Bombyx mori: one gene and its partners. The protein of the gene in region 1 interacts with the protein of each later gene in a pairwise test. Links are inferred from orthologs where the notes say so. Each region holds a gene or a part of one and is shown on either strand. Other genes may lie near its edges.

The links.
Region 2: the proteins of transcriptional adapter 2B (region 1) and histone acetyltransferase KAT2A interact in a two-hybrid assay, tested with the Drosophila melanogaster proteins (4 studies listed by BioGRID). The link is inferred for Bombyx mori from reciprocal best matches to the Drosophila melanogaster genes Ada2b and Gcn5.
Region 3: the proteins of transcriptional adapter 2B (region 1) and transcriptional adaptor 3 interact in a two-hybrid assay, tested with the Drosophila melanogaster proteins (4 studies listed by BioGRID). The link is inferred for Bombyx mori from reciprocal best matches to the Drosophila melanogaster genes Ada2b and Ada3.

The regions. Positions count from the first base shown.
Region 1 is NC_085131.1:6,658,747-6,662,508, forward strand, and holds the start of transcriptional adapter 2B, read right to left. Parts: upstream 2,835-3,762; 5' UTR 2,729-2,834; coding exon 2,618-2,728; intron 2,523-2,617; coding exon 2,463-2,522; intron 2,386-2,462; coding exon 2,244-2,385; intron 1,507-2,243; exon of another isoform or gene 896-1,506; coding exon 678-895; exon of another isoform or gene 606-677; coding exon 533-605; exon of another isoform or gene 210-532; coding exon 56-209; exon of another isoform or gene 1-55. UniProt on the Drosophila melanogaster protein: Component of several Gcn5-containing histone acetyltransferase complexes that regulate nucleosome organization; involved in acetylation of histone H3, particularly on Lys-10 (H3K9ac) and Lys-15 (H3K14ac).
Region 2 is NC_085120.1:4,777,006-4,780,667, forward strand, and holds part of histone acetyltransferase KAT2A, read right to left. Parts: intron 3,483-3,662; coding exon 3,322-3,482; intron 2,517-3,321; coding exon 2,439-2,516; intron 1,443-2,438; coding exon 1,326-1,442; intron 760-1,325; coding exon 669-759; intron 353-668; coding exon 226-352; intron 1-225.
Region 3 is NC_085109.1:9,156,015-9,159,259, forward strand, and holds transcriptional adaptor 3, read right to left. Parts: upstream 2,334-3,245; 5' UTR 2,101-2,333; coding exon 718-2,100; 3' UTR 638-717; downstream 1-637.

The DNA of each region.
Region 1 (3,762 bases):
AACATATCTATATACTACACATTTGAAATACTTCAAAAATATTATTGGTACATACTTTTTTTCTTTGGCAAGTTTTCCTAGGGTCTTCTGTTTATTCCTCTGATTGTTGAAGAAGACAGACACTAACTGGAAATCTCTAACTAATCTTTTTCGTCTCGTTCTCTCTCTCAGTCTTCTGATGTATATATCAACTTGTGATAGCTTTAGTGCTATAAAAAATAAAAAAAACGGGATATGTCATTTTTTATTTATTATATATATCTTATATGTATTTAACTAAGCTATGAGACGTTTTAAAATCATAAAATAGATATACAGATCTTATAAAGCTTTTAGTCTAGCCTGTTCATAATATGTATCAAATAAGAGACGTCTCAGAGTGAATAATTCATATGTAAATTTCAAGCTCAAGGTCGGCAGTCTATCAGTCATTATTATGATTTTTTTAAAAGGATATTATTATATTAAAAACCACATATTTTATCAACCAAAAACCACTTATCTATTGAATATATATCTATATATAACCTACCAACATCTAATTCATCATCTTCTGGATTTAATGATAATGTTGAGATCAACTGCTCTGCCTCATGATCATGTTCCTGAAATTTCGACACTTTGTAGAACAATATTTTAATTTATTATAGTAAATAGTACAAAAAATTCATTCTTACTCTTTCAAAATCATCTCTATTTGGCATATACCCAAGTTGTGCTGCTTCGTCTACTGTTATAGCTAGGTTTGGTAGTCGAGACACTGCAGTTGGACCAAGTGGGCCATCATCTTTATCTGCACAATGTAGTGATGGGCGAGATGTACTTTCAATATTGCCCCATGTTGCTTTGCCTATGGTGCCTTCCAGGTACCTAGTAATGTATTCATCTTTTGCTTCTGTAATTGAAATTTATGTTTATTTGTTATTATTATTTATTTGTCTTTCTTATAACAATGATGTAAATGAAAGGATTTGATTCGAGCCCTACACCCCAGCAGAGGGTAATAGGAAAGAACGATGATTATGATTATTATTTATTTTTATTATTATATTTAATTAATAAATTTATATATAGTATGATAATTCTTTGGTAATCTTTCTAAAGTTCAGCACTACTGTACCACTGCCACCATGTGAAGCAGAACCTCCTTTGCTCTACCTATAGTCGCAGTTCAGTATATTTGTTTACAATGCTTCCATCGCTGTTACAGGTTTAGGAAGGAGTTTAGAAGAGTGCAGAGGTCTTAAAGAATCTGAGATTGACATGGTCAGTCCTTTTGCGGTGTCAATTTTTAGAAGTATTCTCAACAGATTTAAATAATTACTTCTCACCCTATTTATTATTTTTAGTACTGGTGTTAAATCGTTGATTTGAACTTATGGGATGATTTATTTCCAAATTATTCTTTTTTACTTGTGAAAATAAAGGATATGCATCATGTAAATTTAATCCCAACAAAATTTATTTAATGTAAATGTTTAATATATATTTCTTATTCTTGTTTAATATATATTTTGAGCTTCCATAGCCCATGAAAAAATCCTGTCTTAACATTGCATGTGGTGAGTTTATATACATTATTGAATGGTTGTGACCATGCTGTCACCATTAAATATGCAAAGTTACTATATCAAGGGAGTAAAAGGCTATTCGGTTTAAATGACATTTTTGACAACTTTACAGGAAGGCCATTCAAAGCTTAAAAATTGGAAAAAATATCATAACCAAAAAACGTCTTCAGCTATTTGAATGGAGTAAACGTAAATTGAAATTCAACTAAAAACATCGAACTGTTGATACCAAGTATACCTTTAATTACTAAGGTAATGTACGTTATACCAAATAGCATTTCACCCCTCGATATTATAAAACTGAGACTTAGTAATCATGCCTAAAGGTGGCTAGTAACATTTACGTAGTTGAAATCTCTTGAATCCCGTAACCACCTAACAACAACAGGTAGACGGTAAGCACGTCTACCCAAATATAAAAGCTGAAGCTTTAAAAAAAATTGAAATTCGAAATATTCACCATATTTTATTCAACAATGTTTTTTCGTTGCAGAAGCTATTTTTGAAAATTGTTATTGCATTTAGATAAAAAGTTACAAATAATAGTATGCATATACTAGGTATTCTTTGCCAAGGCATGCAATGTATGCTGTTTGATGCCAATGTTGAAAAATGAACCGAAGCACAGTGCTAAGACAGCAGATTACTGAGTAGCTTATATCATTAAATTACCTTCAGGAGTTCTTGTTTCAATATGTTTTGCTATATCCTCCCAGTTACCAAAGCCGAATTGTTCTATGGCATCTAATAATCTTACTTCTTCGTTAGCTGACCAGCTACTACGTCCTAAAAATATTCCAAAAGCCCCAGAGTCCTGGAAAAATAGAACACTCTTGAAAATCTATTTACTTTCTGTAATAGTATTACAGTAGTCGTTTATAAAGTGCTTACCACAAACTGATATGAATGATCGTTTTTGTGCTGTCCGATTTCAGCACCAAGAGAAAAACACTGAAAATGCATTTTATTGCATATTAATTTCTAAGTGACAATTTTAAATTTTGCGCCAAAACTATCAACAAAAATGGCAGTATCAACTACTTTACCTGCAAACAAATATCAAAATCAACACATTCAGTACATTTAACTCTTACGCCGTTTATTTCCTCTTGACAATATGTACAATTATATTTAGCGTAAAGATCTGAAAATGACATGATTTTTATTACAGTGAAAACAAACTTTAAACTTGTACGTTGGCAGGCTTCAGATTAGCGCACAAATTTCCAAAGCCATTTTACGTTTTTTATTCCCAAACATTTTGAGTTACCAGAGTAATAAAACATATTTTGTAAAATATTTTATTTCCTAAAACTTAACTACGCATTCTAACATGTTGAATAGATTTGAATCTACTATGTATTTGAAAATTAATTTGGTAGCGCAAGATTGGAGTAACACTACCCTATCCGGTCATCGGCGAGAAAATTAACCCACAGACACAGTTCACCGAGTTTCTCGCCGGATCTTCACAGTGGGTCGCGTTTCCGATCCGGTAGTAGATTCTGCGAAGCACTGCTCTTGCTAGGGTTAGTGTTAGCAAAATCGTCAGGTTTGAGCCCCGTGAGCTCACCTACTTGTTAGGTTTGACTGACATAGCCTCTCAAGGCTATCGGCTTAGGTAGAAAAAAAAACTACCCTATCGCTTCCCGTTGTTGTCACAAAATACAACTAAGAAAACTGAACAATGAACGATGCACAGAAATAATAAACCAATATAGGTCTTGCGATCGACAAGAGGCTTATATTAGTGTATTTCTTCCATGAAACCATCATGCATTCTAGTTTGAAGTGTGAGACAGTTTTTACAGTTACAGTTTACAGACAGTTCGACAAAATCAAAATCCTGTTTTGTTTGTAATTTAATGCTCTCATTTAGAAAACCGTATTACTGTGTGAAAAAGATTTTTAACGTTAAGCTAAGACGCATCATTCCTGTCGAATGTCTGATAAGACGTATTTTTACTACAATATCTCTTCCTAACGCAAGTATAGAAAAGGACGGTGATATTAAAATTCACGATGTACAGTATAATTTGCAAATTAATAGTCGAACTTACCAGGCAACCATAGACGTAAAATATAGACCTAAGCTAAATTTGAACCAGGAAACTGTTACTAGTCTTACAAATAGTGATAATTCCAATGAAATTCGTTAATTTCTAGTTTAAAAGCAGCTCTCTTATAATAC
Region 2 (3,662 bases), on another chromosome or scaffold:
TAGATTCTGCGAAGCATTGGTCTTGCTAGGGCCAATGTTAGCAAAGTGTCCTAGGCTGAGCCCATCGGCTACAAGTTTGGTGAAGCTAGCCCTTAACCCCTCGCGGTTACTAGTTTATTTTTATTGCCCTTGTAAGCAGAGGAGCATACGGCCCGCCTGATGGTGAGTGGTTACCGTCGCCCATGGACTTCAGCAATGGTACATAAGTATTAAAGTTCATCGCACCTGTAGTAGTCGGTGTCGGGCGAGTTGTAGAGTCTGCAGTTGTTGAATATCCGGGTCATGTCCGCTATGAACAGCCGCTTGGACACGTAGTAGCGCGCTTTGAGACGTTCCCCCATCGTGCGCAAGTCTTGCAACACAAAGATAAACACATACTCACACACATACAATATATAAATCTACAGTAGTTTTTATGGATGTTCCGTTATAACTACTGAACCATGCATCCGATCGACTTAAAACTTAGTATCCATGTAGAAAATACATGTACTTAATGGATAGGCTAATATTTATATGAGTGTTGGACTCCCTACACCAGTTGCGGGGGCGTTCATGATGAGAATGTTTGTGGGGGTGAGAAATAATAATGTTAATTTTAAATGCCCAGCGAAGCGGACGGGTACAGCTAGTCTGCCTATAAGAGCACTAAAAAAAGATAGACTCACCCATCGGATACTTGATGTGATCGTAGTAGTCCGGCACCTCCGCCTTGTCGACCGGCTTCAGGAACGGCCAGGCCGTCGCGTGGTTCTTTACCTAAAACGTTATTGACAATCAATCGAAATTCAACCTTAGGCCTTGATACCTCAGACTTAGATTACATTAACGATCATTACATTTTCTTTCGTTTTAAAATTATAACCTTATATCTCGCCAATAGTTACTAAGAAATAAGGTAACGCATACAAAAAGAATACAGTCGAATTGAGAAACTCTTCGTTTTTTTAAAGTCGGAAAATACGTCAGTACTATTAACCCTTCGCACTGAAGTACTTAAGTCAATATCTGTTACTAAGCACCTGGAGATTGCCTAACTTTGCCTTCTTTTGTTTGTTAATGTATGTTTTAGTTCTCTTAAGTCTCTTAGAAATAAGATTCATTCTCAGTATCTTCAGATTCGCTTTCGATTCCGGCGCCTTAGTAACAGAAATCGACAAACATGGCAGTCAAAGGGTTAAAGAAGAATAAGGCGATTGACTGTTATGTCTTTGCCTATTTATATACAGATTTTTAAATGAAGAGTCTATTTTTTTGGGACGAGTATTATTTCCGCCTCGTGATGTCCACGGTGGTGGTGTCTATAGTGACGTGCATATACTGACTGCGTGCAGCACGTTCCGCAGGGTGACGGGGTCGGGGTCGGGGTCGTGCGGGGGCGGGGGGGCGCGCCACCCTGCCTCGCGCGCCCCGGGGATGCACTCCGGGGGGAGGCTGCGGACCTAGAACAATACACGACGAAACTAAATTCTTAGTGGTTGAGCTCACAGACCACCTGGTGTTAAGTGGTTACCAGAGTCCATAGACAACTACAAAGTAAATGCGCCACCCACCTTGAGATATAAGTTCTAAGGTCTCAAGTATAGTTACAACAGCTGCCCCACCCTTCAAACCGAAGCGCATTACTGCTTCACAGCAGAAATAGGCGGGGTGGTGGTACCTACCCGCGCGGACTCTCAAGAGGTCCTACCACCAGTAAAGATTCTATTGATCGATTTTTTTTTATTACTTAGATAGGTGAACCGGATCGGGGAATCGCGCTCGTGCCGTCCTCCCCGGCCTCTGGGCCGAGGATCCGAAGTGGAATCCCCACTCCCTTTCGCACTCCTCAGCTTCACCTCACATAAGCAAACCCCTAACCCCTAGCATTCTTTGAAACAGCAGTTCGTCAATCGATCCACTTCAGTCAGTCTATGAGTCGAGAGTAACGTAAATGCACTTTCTGAATAAGTATGTCAAACAATTCAATAGGTTTACGTTTTTTTTTATTTTCTTTTATTACTTTAAAATAGTTCCGATTACTACCTGACTCCGTGTTATCTCTGCAACGCTTTTATAGTCGATACGACACCCCTAGAATTATTGAGAATATCCCTCACAAGTCGAGAATTTTACATATGCGTTTCCGCCATTTGACAATAGATGGCGTTGTACTCCTCGAGCGTTATGGACGTTACTAGTTCATTTGATATTCGTTTCTGCTTTTCAGCCATAGATGGCGTTACTATTACCGGCATAACAATATCTATGTTATGCCTTATTATTTTATTTAGTAAATTATAAACTTAAGCACATGTATTGGGTAACATGTCAGTTCACTGTGCATCTGTTTTAATATAAGCCGCACTTAGTAATCCTTTTTAAGGAAAAGGAGTGTAATTACTCTAATTAATAACACTACAATCTAATTTTAAAGAAATGTCTATATGTATACATACACCTTCCTTGAAGCAAGTGAGGCCGGGATAAATTTTTCTAACTTCCTTCTGTCGCATATCTATAAGTTTCTTTACGATCTGAAATGAAAGTATTTTTATTGTTTCAGATTCTATTTGATATACACAGGACTAATTACACAAATACTTAATACATGATACCTATACCTACCTAACACAAATACTTAATACCTATAAGTTTTTTTTTTTTATATTTTATAAGTATATAAAGAAAGTTACACAGCTTAAGTTTCTTAAAATTCTCAGATGTTAGTGGTATCAAGTGTAAACTATTTCCGCCGTGAAGCAGTAATGCGTTTCGGTTTGAAGGTGGGGCAGCCGTTGTAACTATACATGAGACCTTAGAACCTATATCTCAAGGTGGGTGGCGCATTTACGTTGTAGATGTCTATGGGGCAGGTGGACTGTGAGCTCGTCCACCCATCTAAGCAATAAATAAAAAAACAGAGCGTAGTCGGAATGCTAACTATATTCATTTACTAAGCCAATGTCGCTTTGTCGCCAAGCAGCAATGTAACGTGTAGCCAGACGCGCGGCGGGGCACCGTCACAACAGAGTCCATTTACCAGCTGTTTTTTGTTTGTAATACATTACGTGCAATGCAGTGTATTATCATTTTTCGCTACTTAAACGAACAAGGCCTCCCTAGTACAATTTTGGATGTTTAACGACAATGGGAAGACCCTTCACCGAGCGGGTGATATTGCTCGGTAGACCGACGGTCCGTATATAGTGTTGTTCGGAACTTGTATATATGCGAGCTTATCTTGAAAATGTCGTAAGCGACATTCAGGCATCAATTGCGTTGTATGATGGCTACCCACCACAACAACATTAATAATTTCAAATATCAGTAACGACGTACCTCTTTCTGCATCCTAATAACCGAAGTGAACTGTGTGTATACTATTCTAGGGTTCAATTCGCAGTGCATGAGGGTTGCTCCCTCGTAGTCCTTTATGTATCCTTGGTACATCGCCCTCGGCAGCTTAATGTCTTTACTGAAACCCTGCTTCTTGAAGTAGCCTGTGGAATTAAACAGACCAGGCTCGGAGATCAGAGGATCTTTAGTGACTGTATTCTGTGAGTGTCAGACGTAGCCTTCTGAGGCTTGACAATCAAAAGTTATGAGGTAACACATAAAAAAAACAGTCGAATTGAGAACCACCTCCTCTTTTGAAGTCGGTTAAAAAAGGAGCTACGTTA
Region 3 (3,245 bases), on another chromosome or scaffold:
TATCAAAGCCGGCAATGTGACTTTTGGACAATTATTGGTAAATCAGAAAAACGAATTATTGACTTTGTATTCCATTGGCAGTCACAAAACTCTTCTTAACTACATCTTAGATAAATAACAGGTTAAGTATTAACCTTTATTTAATGCAGGTTTTGAACCGTATTCTTTGAAGGAGACGATTATATTCAAATCAATCTGTATTGACATACCAATAACATTTTTTTGTCCAAATGCACAGATTGCCACCTTTGATAATAGACGACTCGTATATAACAAAATAAAATGAGGTAATACAAAATCTGCAGTAAATAAAAAATTTGCATTAGCATTCATTAGTTCTGTTCTGTGCAGATTCACAAGACATCTTACCACCAGAGTAATTGTGCAAATTATAAACTTGCAGGTTTGATTTTTTTTACATGATGAGAAGTCCCTACACGGTGGAAGTCTATTGTGAACATTTGTTAAATACATATTTCATTAGAATAATTGGTACCCACCTGCGGGATTCAAACATTGTTGCATCACTAGATAAAAATGCACTAAACATCTTATCCTTTAAAAAGTCAAGGCCATAATCCAAGGCCAAGGTCAAATTTGCCAAATAAGTAGTTAGTAGTCACAGTAATAAAACAAGTATTTTTCCATATTTAATTCAACAGATACTCCTAGAATAATTACCACATGTTATTTTTGTATCATGCCGAACACTAATATCTAATTTGAATTTGGACCCGTTTGTGGCAAAGCATTGATTTCTTTGTTTAGCCTTATTTGTTCATTTATTGCTTTCCAAGCATCTTCTTTTTCCTTCTTAGTAACAGGGCGCTTCTTTTGTTTAGCCGCTACCATCTTTTTATAAATATCAATACATTCTAGATCCACTTGATCCAGTTGCTTTTTCAGATTCAGTCTAATCATTTCTTGTTTACACAAACCAATTAAATTTTTAAGATTTCGACAATTCTCTTTACGTACAGCTGTTAATTCTGTTTGACATTTTTTAATCTCTGCTAGTATTTCATCATCAGCTGGATTAGTGAGAGGTGGTAAATCCTCTGGATCAAGTATTCCTTGTTCAACCAATTCCTTCCTCAAACACTTTTCTAATGTTAATGAATTCTTGTAGCCACTTTTAGTGGTGGAGACCATTTTTACTTTAATATCAGGTATTTCATAAGACATCACATTCTCTTCCATAAGAGCAGAGACTAATCTTTGTGTCAAAGGTCCAGTTATCATGCTTTCTGATGACTTTTCTAGCTTCTTACGAGCATGAGATGCATCTGGAGACATAGATGATTTTTGCTTATTAGGATTAGATGCATTTTGATCTTCAGCAAGATGTTCATCTGCCCAAACTTCTGAGTAATGCTTTCCTAATGGAGGGATCGGAGGTAGTGTGGTGTTACTGCTTTGAGCTAATAAGGACTCTAAAAATTTTATATCATCCAATGTTACAGGAGCACAATAAGGCTCTACTGAATTCCAAAATTTATATGGGATATTATTTTTAGGCAGTGCTAATTGTGAAAGTTCAAGTTTTACAGAGTTGTCTGAATTCACTAAATCATTAGAGTAGGTATGAGATCCTGAGGAAGCGTTTGAGAAATTTTTAAATTTAGGCACTTTTGGCTGATTGGATAATTTTGTGTAGTCTTTAGTTTTAACCACTTTGTCATCTTGAAATTTTCTTTTTACAGGATACTGTAGCTGTTTACCGGCTGCTTTGCCTTTTTTTTCTCTTTTAGATTCATTCGAATCTATGCTTTCTATTTCAGATTGAAAATATCTGCATCGTAGGGCAGTATTACATAGCAATGACTCTAATTCCAACTGTAACCCATCCAGCTCATCCATCCCAATAGGTTCATCAGCAGATCTCGCTGCAACCGCAGTAAATCGTGGCAAAAGCACTGCATTATCTTGTATTTTAATGTATGGAATTGGGCATGTCTCAACTTTGATTTTGGCAGTAGAAACAGAACCTGGAATCTTTGTTGGTTTAGTGTATGGTGTAATTCCAGGGCTTGATGGCTTTCCATTGTCTTTGTTAGCTAGTCTGCCTTTGCTATTATGATGCATCCTCTTACCCAGCATCTCGATTCAATATAATTTACCCGCCAAAATAAATAACACAAGCCCAATATTCTACGCTAATCTACATTATTTATTGCACTGAAATCTTGGAATCACTTTAAAATGTTAGACTTTAAAGTACTTAACGTTAATATCACGTCTATGACTCAACTTGTGTTGATTTTTTAAGACAAAAGCGTAATTCTTAAAGTTTCTCTAGTACAGCAAAACAAATGCCGAAATCACAGAACAAAATGGCGTTCAGAAAATAAAACTTATTTTTTATTTGATACCGTTTTTAACACAGAAGCTTTACCTTTTTTTTAAGGGATTTTATGACCTGGTAACTAAGACCTTTAAGTCATTTCTGATTTTAAATTATATTCATATTTTTATGAAAAATGATATTATGGAGTGAAATGAAATGAATATGATTAATTTGAGACATTAATCAACTGGGATGAAATTAAATGAAATGAGATGAGATGATATGGGATGAAATATAATCTCAGTAAAATGGTGGTCATTTACTAAGATTTTTTCAGTGGACTTTGTGGAGGATCCCGAGAAGTTACGTCCAGCGGCTTTGTTTCTTTTTCCCACATTTGTGCACTTTCACAGATATTAAACAGTTAATAAACCACCGTTATTACACATTTAAACCTGAAGAAACACTAAATAGACAAAATAAAACAAATCACACAACTTCATTCCTCGCGTTCCCGCCAAAAAGTCAGAAGTTTTACCTACTTTTTTTTTAAGTGATTTTACGACCTGGTAACTAAGACCTTTAAGTCATGTCTTATTTTAATTTATATTCATATTTTTATGAAAAATGATAATATGGGGTGAAATGAAATGAAAATGATTAATTTGAGACATTAATCAACTGGGATGAAATTAAATGAAATGAGATGAGATGATATGGGATGAAATATAATCTCAGTAAAATGGTGGTCATTTACTAAGATTTTTTCAGTGGACTTTGTGGAGGATCCCGAGAAGTTACGTCCAGCGGCTTTGTTTCTTTTTCCCACATTTGTGCACTTTCACAGATATTAAACAGTTAATAAACCACCGTTATTACACATTTAAACCTGAAGAAACACTAAATAGACAAAATAAAACAAATCACACAACTTCACTCCTCGCGTTCCCGCCAAAAA